Caenorhabditis elegans: one gene and its partner. The protein of the gene in region 1 purifies or fractionates together with the protein of each later gene. This does not show direct contact. Each region holds a gene or a part of one and is shown on either strand. Other genes may lie near its edges.

Evidence for each region. Proteins that work in one complex are often made in the same cells at the same time.
Region 2: the proteins of mau-8 (region 1) and par-5 purify together in Caenorhabditis elegans (affinity purification with western blotting, with the first as the bait; one study listed by BioGRID). This does not show direct contact.

Annotation. Positions count from the first base shown.
Region 1 is NC_003282.8:13,376,012-13,379,765, reverse strand, and holds the start of mau-8 (Phosducin domain-containing protein), read right to left. Parts: upstream 1,751-3,754; 5' UTR 1,742-1,750; coding exon 1,542-1,741; intron 1,486-1,541; coding exon 1,284-1,485; intron 432-1,283; coding exon 252-431; intron 1-251. Other genes in the region: Y62E10A.6 (NADPH:adrenodoxin oxidoreductase, mitochondrial), read right to left, coding at 2,498-2,848.
Region 2 is NC_003282.8:11,820,001-11,823,694, reverse strand, and holds par-5 (14-3-3-like protein 1), read left to right. Parts: upstream 1-1,777; 5' UTR 1,778-1,797; coding exon 1,798-1,887; intron 1,888-1,935; coding exon 1,936-2,106; intron 2,107-2,171; coding exon 2,172-2,363; intron 2,364-2,410; coding exon 2,411-2,704; intron 2,705-2,806; 3' UTR 2,807-2,870; intron 2,871-2,914; 3' UTR 2,915-3,189; downstream 3,190-3,694. Other genes in the region: M117.3 (14-3-3 domain-containing protein), read right to left, coding at 1-47, 93-179. UniProt on the Caenorhabditis elegans protein: Required to modulate lifespan, in concert with hcf-1, acting redundantly with 14-3-3-like protein ftt-2.

The sequences.
Region 1 (3,754 bases):
TGACGGCAGCACGTTCTTAACCATGCGAAATCAGTTGAGAACTCTGCGTCTTTTCTCCCGCATTTTTGTAGATCTACGTAGATCAAGCCGAAATGAGAAACTCTCACATCACGTGTATAGTGCTTTCGAAAAAAAATTTAAAACTTTTGAAAATTCGGAAGTTTGAAACTACAGTACTCTTCAAAGGCGCAAGACCTTTTCGCATTTAACTAAAAATTTGTCGTGTCGGGACCCTGAAACGTATTACATACAAATGCTCTGCTCATTTCAAGAAGAGTGCTTGTCGCTCGAACGAATTTGGTTTTCGGACAATCGGCGGCGAGAATCTTAACGATTCGTGTCAAATATTCACATTCATCGGATTCAGGCTCATATATTAGAACACAGAGAAGATATGATGAACTTCCATCAACGGCATCCGAATATTGTTTCTGAAATTTCTTGGAGCATTTTTGAAGGATGTTTGAAATCGATAAAATGAAGAAGAAAAGCTAATTTTTTTTGGAAAATTGAATAATTTTAGTTTTCATTATTTATCATTTTCCGTTAAAAAATCGTTTTTTATTTATTTTTAGTCGAAATTTAAAAAAAAATCAAAATTTCTATTATTTTGCAATTTTTTTTTCTCGAAAAACGGAAACCTGATTTTTTTTAAATTTTCGAGAAAAAATCGAAAAAGTTTCGATATATCCTTTTTTGATTTTTTTAAGAAAAGAAAGCAACTTTTTTAATTCGAAAAATGCCGATATTTGAATTTTTAACGACAACGGGGCGATGTCGAGAAATTAGAAAAAATTATTATTTTATTAAAAATAAAATTGATTTTTTAAAAATAAAATCAAAATATTAATTTCTCGACGTCATTGTGGAAAAAAATTGAAAAATAACGAAATTTTTCGAATTAAAAAAAAATAAATTTCCGACTAAAAATTGTAAAAATAATTTTAAAAGTTTTTTTCTAAAAAATCAAAAAAGGAAATATCGAAACTTTTAGAAATTTTGATTTTTTGAAATTTCGACAAGTTTTTAAATGTTTCTAGAAAAAGATTGAGAGACTTTTGAATTTTCTAGAAAAAAAATCGAAAATCTTTGGTATTTTTTTTTTCGAAATTAATTTTTTACTCGGAAAGTGAAAAAAAAATTTTTTTTCCAGTTTTCTGGTAATTTTTGCCAATTTTTCTTATTCATTTTGGAGAAATTTTCTTTTTTTCCCATATTTTCTAAAAAGTTTTCAAAAGTTTTCACAATAAAAAAAAAAAAGTATTTTTTGATTGTTCCTATACCTTATCAGTCATTTCAATAACCCGATTTGCTGCAATTTTTCTCATTTCTCTAAGTCTCTTCGCTTTTAATCCCTCCAAAGTCATCTCAAAATCCTCATCTTCATCATCTTCTCGTTGTGCTTTTTCTCGTTCTTCTTTCGATCCAATCATCATTCCTTTCTTCGCTTGCTCAATTAATTTCTGATTTTTTGATTCGACAGCTCTGAAAATTTACAAAATTTTTTTTTTAATTTTTAAGAATTTTTTAAATAGTCTCACAATCTAGTCTGTTCTCTGAACGCTTTGAACTCATTGAGCACTCCTTTTGCTCCAGTATTCGAAGATGGTCCCATTCTCTTCATTACATTCGCCTGATGCTCATCCTCATCGTTTACAACTTTGAAATCGTCCTCTTCACCTTCTGAGCTGCTACAGTAACCCGCAGGCTTTCCGTCCAGAATTCGTGATTCCAAATTCATTAGAGTTTTCTGAAAAAATATTTTTTTAAATTTATATTTCTGATCTTTTTCGAAAAAAAAAAAAGAAATTTTGATTTAATTTTTCTTCAGAAAAATCATGAGAAATTTGAAACTACTGGTGAGAAAATTTCTTTAAAAAAGTTTCTTCTCAAGCATTTTATTAATTAAAATTTTTTGTAAAATTTCCTGATAGTTTCGTAAGGAACTTTTTTTAAAATTAGAGAAATATCACACAAATTAAAGGTAATAAATTTGGCAGAATTGCCAAAATCTGAAAAAAATATATACCAAAAAAAAGTTTTTTTTTAAATTTTTCAAATTAATCAAAATTTAAAAAACAATTAAAAATCGGTCGTTTTATATAATTTTTAAATTCCTATTTTTACCTTTTTCAACGTTTTTCAGACTTTTCTATAAATTAATTGTTTTTTCTTTGGAAAATATATGAGAAATTTGATACTTTTTTCAAATATTTTTGCAAATTTTTAAAATATTTATCAAAAAAATTCAAAAATTACTGGGAATTTTCCAATTTCTCATTAAAATGCAATTTGTTTTTGGATCAGAATATCAAATAATTCAAATAAGGTAATAAATTTGGCAAAATGACCAAAATCTGGAAAAAAATCCAATAAAAAAATAAAAAAAAAGATTTATTCTATCTAGAAGTGTCTAGTTAAATACAGAAAATGTACTGAAATTCCAGTAAAACCCGGAAAAAAGGGTGAAAGAAAACTCGATAATTTATGGCATTTTCTAATTGCATTTCTTCAATTTCGTGAGAAATTTCTCAAAAGTTGTGAACTTTTCTCGAATCTTTCCAGATAGCTTTCCAGTGTCTTGTTCTTGTCTATCAATTTGTTTCCATTCATCCCATGATATAAATGGAACTTTTCGATCTTCAAGTAATTCTTCAACTCCATTAGATGTGCTATCTTTAAATTGTGCAAAGTCTGCGGCAATTTGATCGGCAACAAAAATTGATTGTTGTTGAGTGTCTACAATTATTCCATGTGGTCCATGAGCACACCATCCAGTTGCATACACTTGTGATGAACACGCAGCAACCATATTTACACGGCAATGATCTTTCATGTCTATCATTTTCTGAAATAAAAAAAATATATTTGCAGAGATTTTATGATTTTTTTTTGAATCCGGGAATTATGGGTCATAATAGTTTTCCAGATAATTTAAACCAATTTAAATTTCCGACAAACCGGCAAATCGACGAAGATTAACAATTCCGGCAAATCGGCACATTGCCGGAATTGAAAAATTCCAGGAAACCGGCAATTTGCCAAAAATTTTCTGGCAAATCAGCAAATCTCCGGAATTTAAAATTTTCGGAAATCGGCAAACCGGCAAATTGCCGGAAATTTTTATTTTCGACAAATCGCCGAAAATGAAAATTTCCGGCAAAGTGGCAATTTGCCGAAAATAAAAATTTCCGGCAAATCGGAAAACCGGCAAACGGTCTTAATTGAACAGTTCCGGCAAATCGGAAATATGCCGAAAATGAAAATTTCCGGCAAATCGGTGAATTGCCGGAATCGGAAAATTCGGGCAAATCGGCAAATTAGCGAAAATGACCGATTCCGGCAAACCGGCGAATTGCCGGAATTGGAAAATTCTGACAAACCGGCGAATTAGAGAAAATTAACAATTCCGGCAAATCGGAACATTGCCGGAATTGTCAAATTCCGGCAAACCGGCAAATTGCAAATTTTCGGCAAATCGGCAAACCGGCAAATAGCAGGAATTGAAAATTTCCAGCAAATCAGTAATCTGCCGGAATTAAAAATTTCCGGCAAATCGGCAAAAGGTAATTTGACGAAATTGAAAATTTCCGGCAAATCGGCAATTTGCCGAAGATTAATATTTCTGGCAAATTGAAAAATCGGCAAATCGTCAAATTGCCGGAATTGAAAATTTCCGGCAAATCGGCAAATTGCCGTGAGGTTTTTGAATTTTTTTTTCTTAAAAAATGTAGTTTTTTACTGATTGAACGAT
Region 2 (3,694 bases), 1.6 Mb from region 1:
ATTGGGTGAGTTGGCTGCATCTTGTCCTTAGCGATACCAAGAGCCTCCTGAAAGTCATTTCATTTACATCAAGAATTTAGTTATTCAAATACCTGATAAGCGATTCGCGACTTGTGTGCATGCTCTTCTCTGTTGATATCGTCGTATTGGACCAGATACCTAAAATGGTCGGCGACCATGCCACCGAAGAGAGCCTTAGTTTCATCATTTAGCGCATAGTCTCAAGCCAAACAGGCGGGGCAGTTCAAAAATAGTTTGATATATAGTTTGATATAGTTTGATGAATAGTGGCGTGGAGTACGGTTTCGCGGCAATTCAAATACTACTATTCTTGAGACCAGACGAATCGGACGATTAACGGCGGCGAGGGATTCGGATCGGGGGAACCCAATCTGTGGGACGGGCCACGCCCACGATCAAATTTTGCAACCTCCGCACGGTTCTATGGGCGTGGCCAATCCCCCGATGTCAACAAATTTTAAAAAAAACCTTCCCCGATTTTATAAATATTTCAGCTTGAAATCGCGATGTTCATTTGCGAACTCGAGGCATTTTCGAAACGTTAAATGTTCCCGCGCAATAATGCTCCGCTGAACAGTGCACGCTTTTTGTGTAGATTCATTTAAATATTCATTTTCCGTCAGATTTCATGTAGAAACCCAAAGATTCGCTCATTTCGCTGCTCGATCTTTTCTTTTTCTTCATTCAACCGTATATTATATGCATTTTTCGTTTAAACGTTTTTCAAAAATTTTTAAAAATTGCTTACAATCTTCTTTGTAAAAAGAATATATTTTGCAACCAATTTTTTCGATTCTCCATGGAAAACTTATCAATTTAAACTGCATTCACTGTTACACTGATAATGCTTTGAACGACGGCGGTCGGAGAACTTCCAACCGATTACTGTTCTCCAATTTCATGTTTCTAGAAAAAAAGAAATTTCTGTCGTTTCATAACATGTTTTAACACGCAGAGCCTTTTTTTTTCGAATGAACCGCCATTTTCTTTAAAGGCGCAAGCTATTCCCTCTGCGCGATATTTCGCCGCGAAAAAAGAAGCCCCGCGAAAAAACGTATTCGAACCGCGGAATTTCCGCGAATTTGTTGCTGGTTTCTTCTAGAATTCAACGATTCAATGCTCATTTCATCACAATTTTTTTTTGTAAAATTATCCTTCTCGCTTTTATGCTCCTCTTGCCCTCAATTTTCTGTCTAAAAGCTATCATTTCCTCTGATTTCTTCCTCGATTTTCAAATGTTGGCCCAAAATAGTGATTTTTTCTTTAATTATATCCTAATCCCCACCAACACGATTTAGCAATTCTCGAAAATTATTTTTTTGCGTTGTTCAGGTAAAAGTCCTGACGAAACCTCCTGAGTTTTGTGTAACGTGCTCACCGAAAGATTAGTGTGCTTGCTGCGCCCGTTGTCACCACTGCCATTCATCCTTCTATTCCCGTGTTTTCTTATCAAATGCCCAAAAAATCTGAAATTTTTTGTGTAGACAATGCTATATATGAGGAGCGAATGTGTGCGCCAGAGAAAAAGACGGACAGACACAAATTGAGTGAGTGTGCGTTGCCCACTTTAGTTGTTGTCATGCGACGGCGGCGGCACGCGCTCTCTCATCGGCCGGCACTGCTGTCCATCGATTTTTCTTCTTTCAAACGTCGTGCGGGCTGTTTCGAATGTTCTAGGGCTCTCCGTTTCGATTATTACTCTCGCCTATGTTCTTCTCTTTTCGTTCTCAATATTTCATTATAAATTTTGTTTCAGAAGACTTGCTCACTGAAAAAATGTCCGATACCGTGGAAGAGCTCGTTCAACGCGCCAAGCTTGCCGAACAAGCCGAGCGATACGATGATATGGCTGCCGCCATGAAGAAAGTAAGATAAAACATCATTTACGGAGGTTTCAAATTTACTATTTTTCAGGTGACCGAGCAGGGACAGGAGCTTTCCAACGAAGAGCGTAACCTTCTCTCTGTTGCCTACAAAAACGTCGTCGGAGCTCGCCGTTCATCGTGGAGAGTTATCTCTTCCATTGAGCAAAAGACCGAGGGATCCGAGAAGAAGCAACAACTCGCCAAGGAATACCGCGTCAAGGTAACTACACCAAGCAAGATTTTATTAATTTCAAGAATTTTAGTAACTTATTTACATTATTTCAGGTTGAGCAAGAACTCAACGACATCTGCCAAGATGTGCTCAAGCTCCTCGACGAGTTCCTCATTGTCAAGGCTGGAGCTGCTGAGTCGAAGGTCTTCTATCTCAAGATGAAAGGAGATTACTACAGATACCTCGCCGAGGTCGCTTCAGAGGATCGCGCTGCCGTTGTTGAGAAGTCCCAGAAGGCTTACCAGGTATTTGAAAATAACTAAATTCTTGATGTAAATGGCATGACTTTCAGGAGGCTCTTGATATCGCTAAGGACAAGATGCAGCCAACCCACCCAATTCGCCTTGGACTTGCCCTCAACTTCTCTGTCTTCTACTACGAGATCTTGAACACTCCAGAGCACGCTTGCCAACTCGCGAAACAGGCTTTCGATGATGCTATTGCTGAGCTCGACACGTTGAACGAGGATTCGTACAAGGACTCGACCTTGATCATGCAACTTCTACGTGACAATCTCACTCTCTGGACATCTGACGTTGGAGCTGAAGATCAAGAGCAGGAGGGAAACCAGGAAGCTGGAAACTAAGTACGATTTCAAAATGTTTTATTGCCATTATATAAAGCTGACCTTTTTCCTCTTTTCCTTTCACATCAAATCTTGCTTCGAAAAAATAGTTTCGGTTTTCAGAGAGCTGAACTCCGTTCTCTTTCCTCGCATCTCTTCAACTTTCAGTTATCCTCCAACATTTCCGGTACGTTAGCCGAGAGAGTTGCCTAATCACCGTTTTTGTTTTAGACTTAACGTATTCACCAATACTCCATACAACACTGCGCAATAGCATCATGAAAGAAAATTCGGTCTTCAAGTGCTCTAGATCTCCAAGCCATAATTCTCTTCATGCTCTATTTCGCTGTAATTCACTCCGTCACTATTGTCATTCCTAAAATGGCGTATTGTTCTATGATTATTATGTGCTGTAAAGTATAATGAACCCCCATCTTCCATTTTTCTCTTATTATCCCCGATCTTTATTTTTAGATCTTTTTGAACATAAATGTTTGGTGAACTTTTCCGGTTGTCCGAATTTCATCACAACTTTCCAGGAGTTTTTCGAGTAATGGAATGGAATTTATTTTCAGATTTCGATGAAGGAGCATAAATAGGATAAAACATTTGCATTAACCTCTTAGAAGGTCTCAACACGAAAAATTAAATGAAATGTGAAAAAGTGTGCGCCTTTAAGCTGCCGAAAATTTTTTGATAGTTTCTTCCACGATTCGTTAAAAATTAAGTGTTTTATGGTAACATTTGAGTGTTCTTTTGAAAATAAATATATTCTTTGTCGAAAAACTATGAAACATCGATAAAAATTCCGCAGCAATAGAAGTTTAAAATTACAGTACTCTTTAAAGACTCACACCTTTTTGCGTTCAACAAATATTAGACGTGTCGAGACTAAGTACCGTACTTTTGGCGCAAAAAGCTCAAAATTTCGCTCCTGGGCAATATAATTTTCGGAAAAAAACTTAATTCTGGAGACTTCATGTGTTTTCACAGATCATGACGAGACCGATT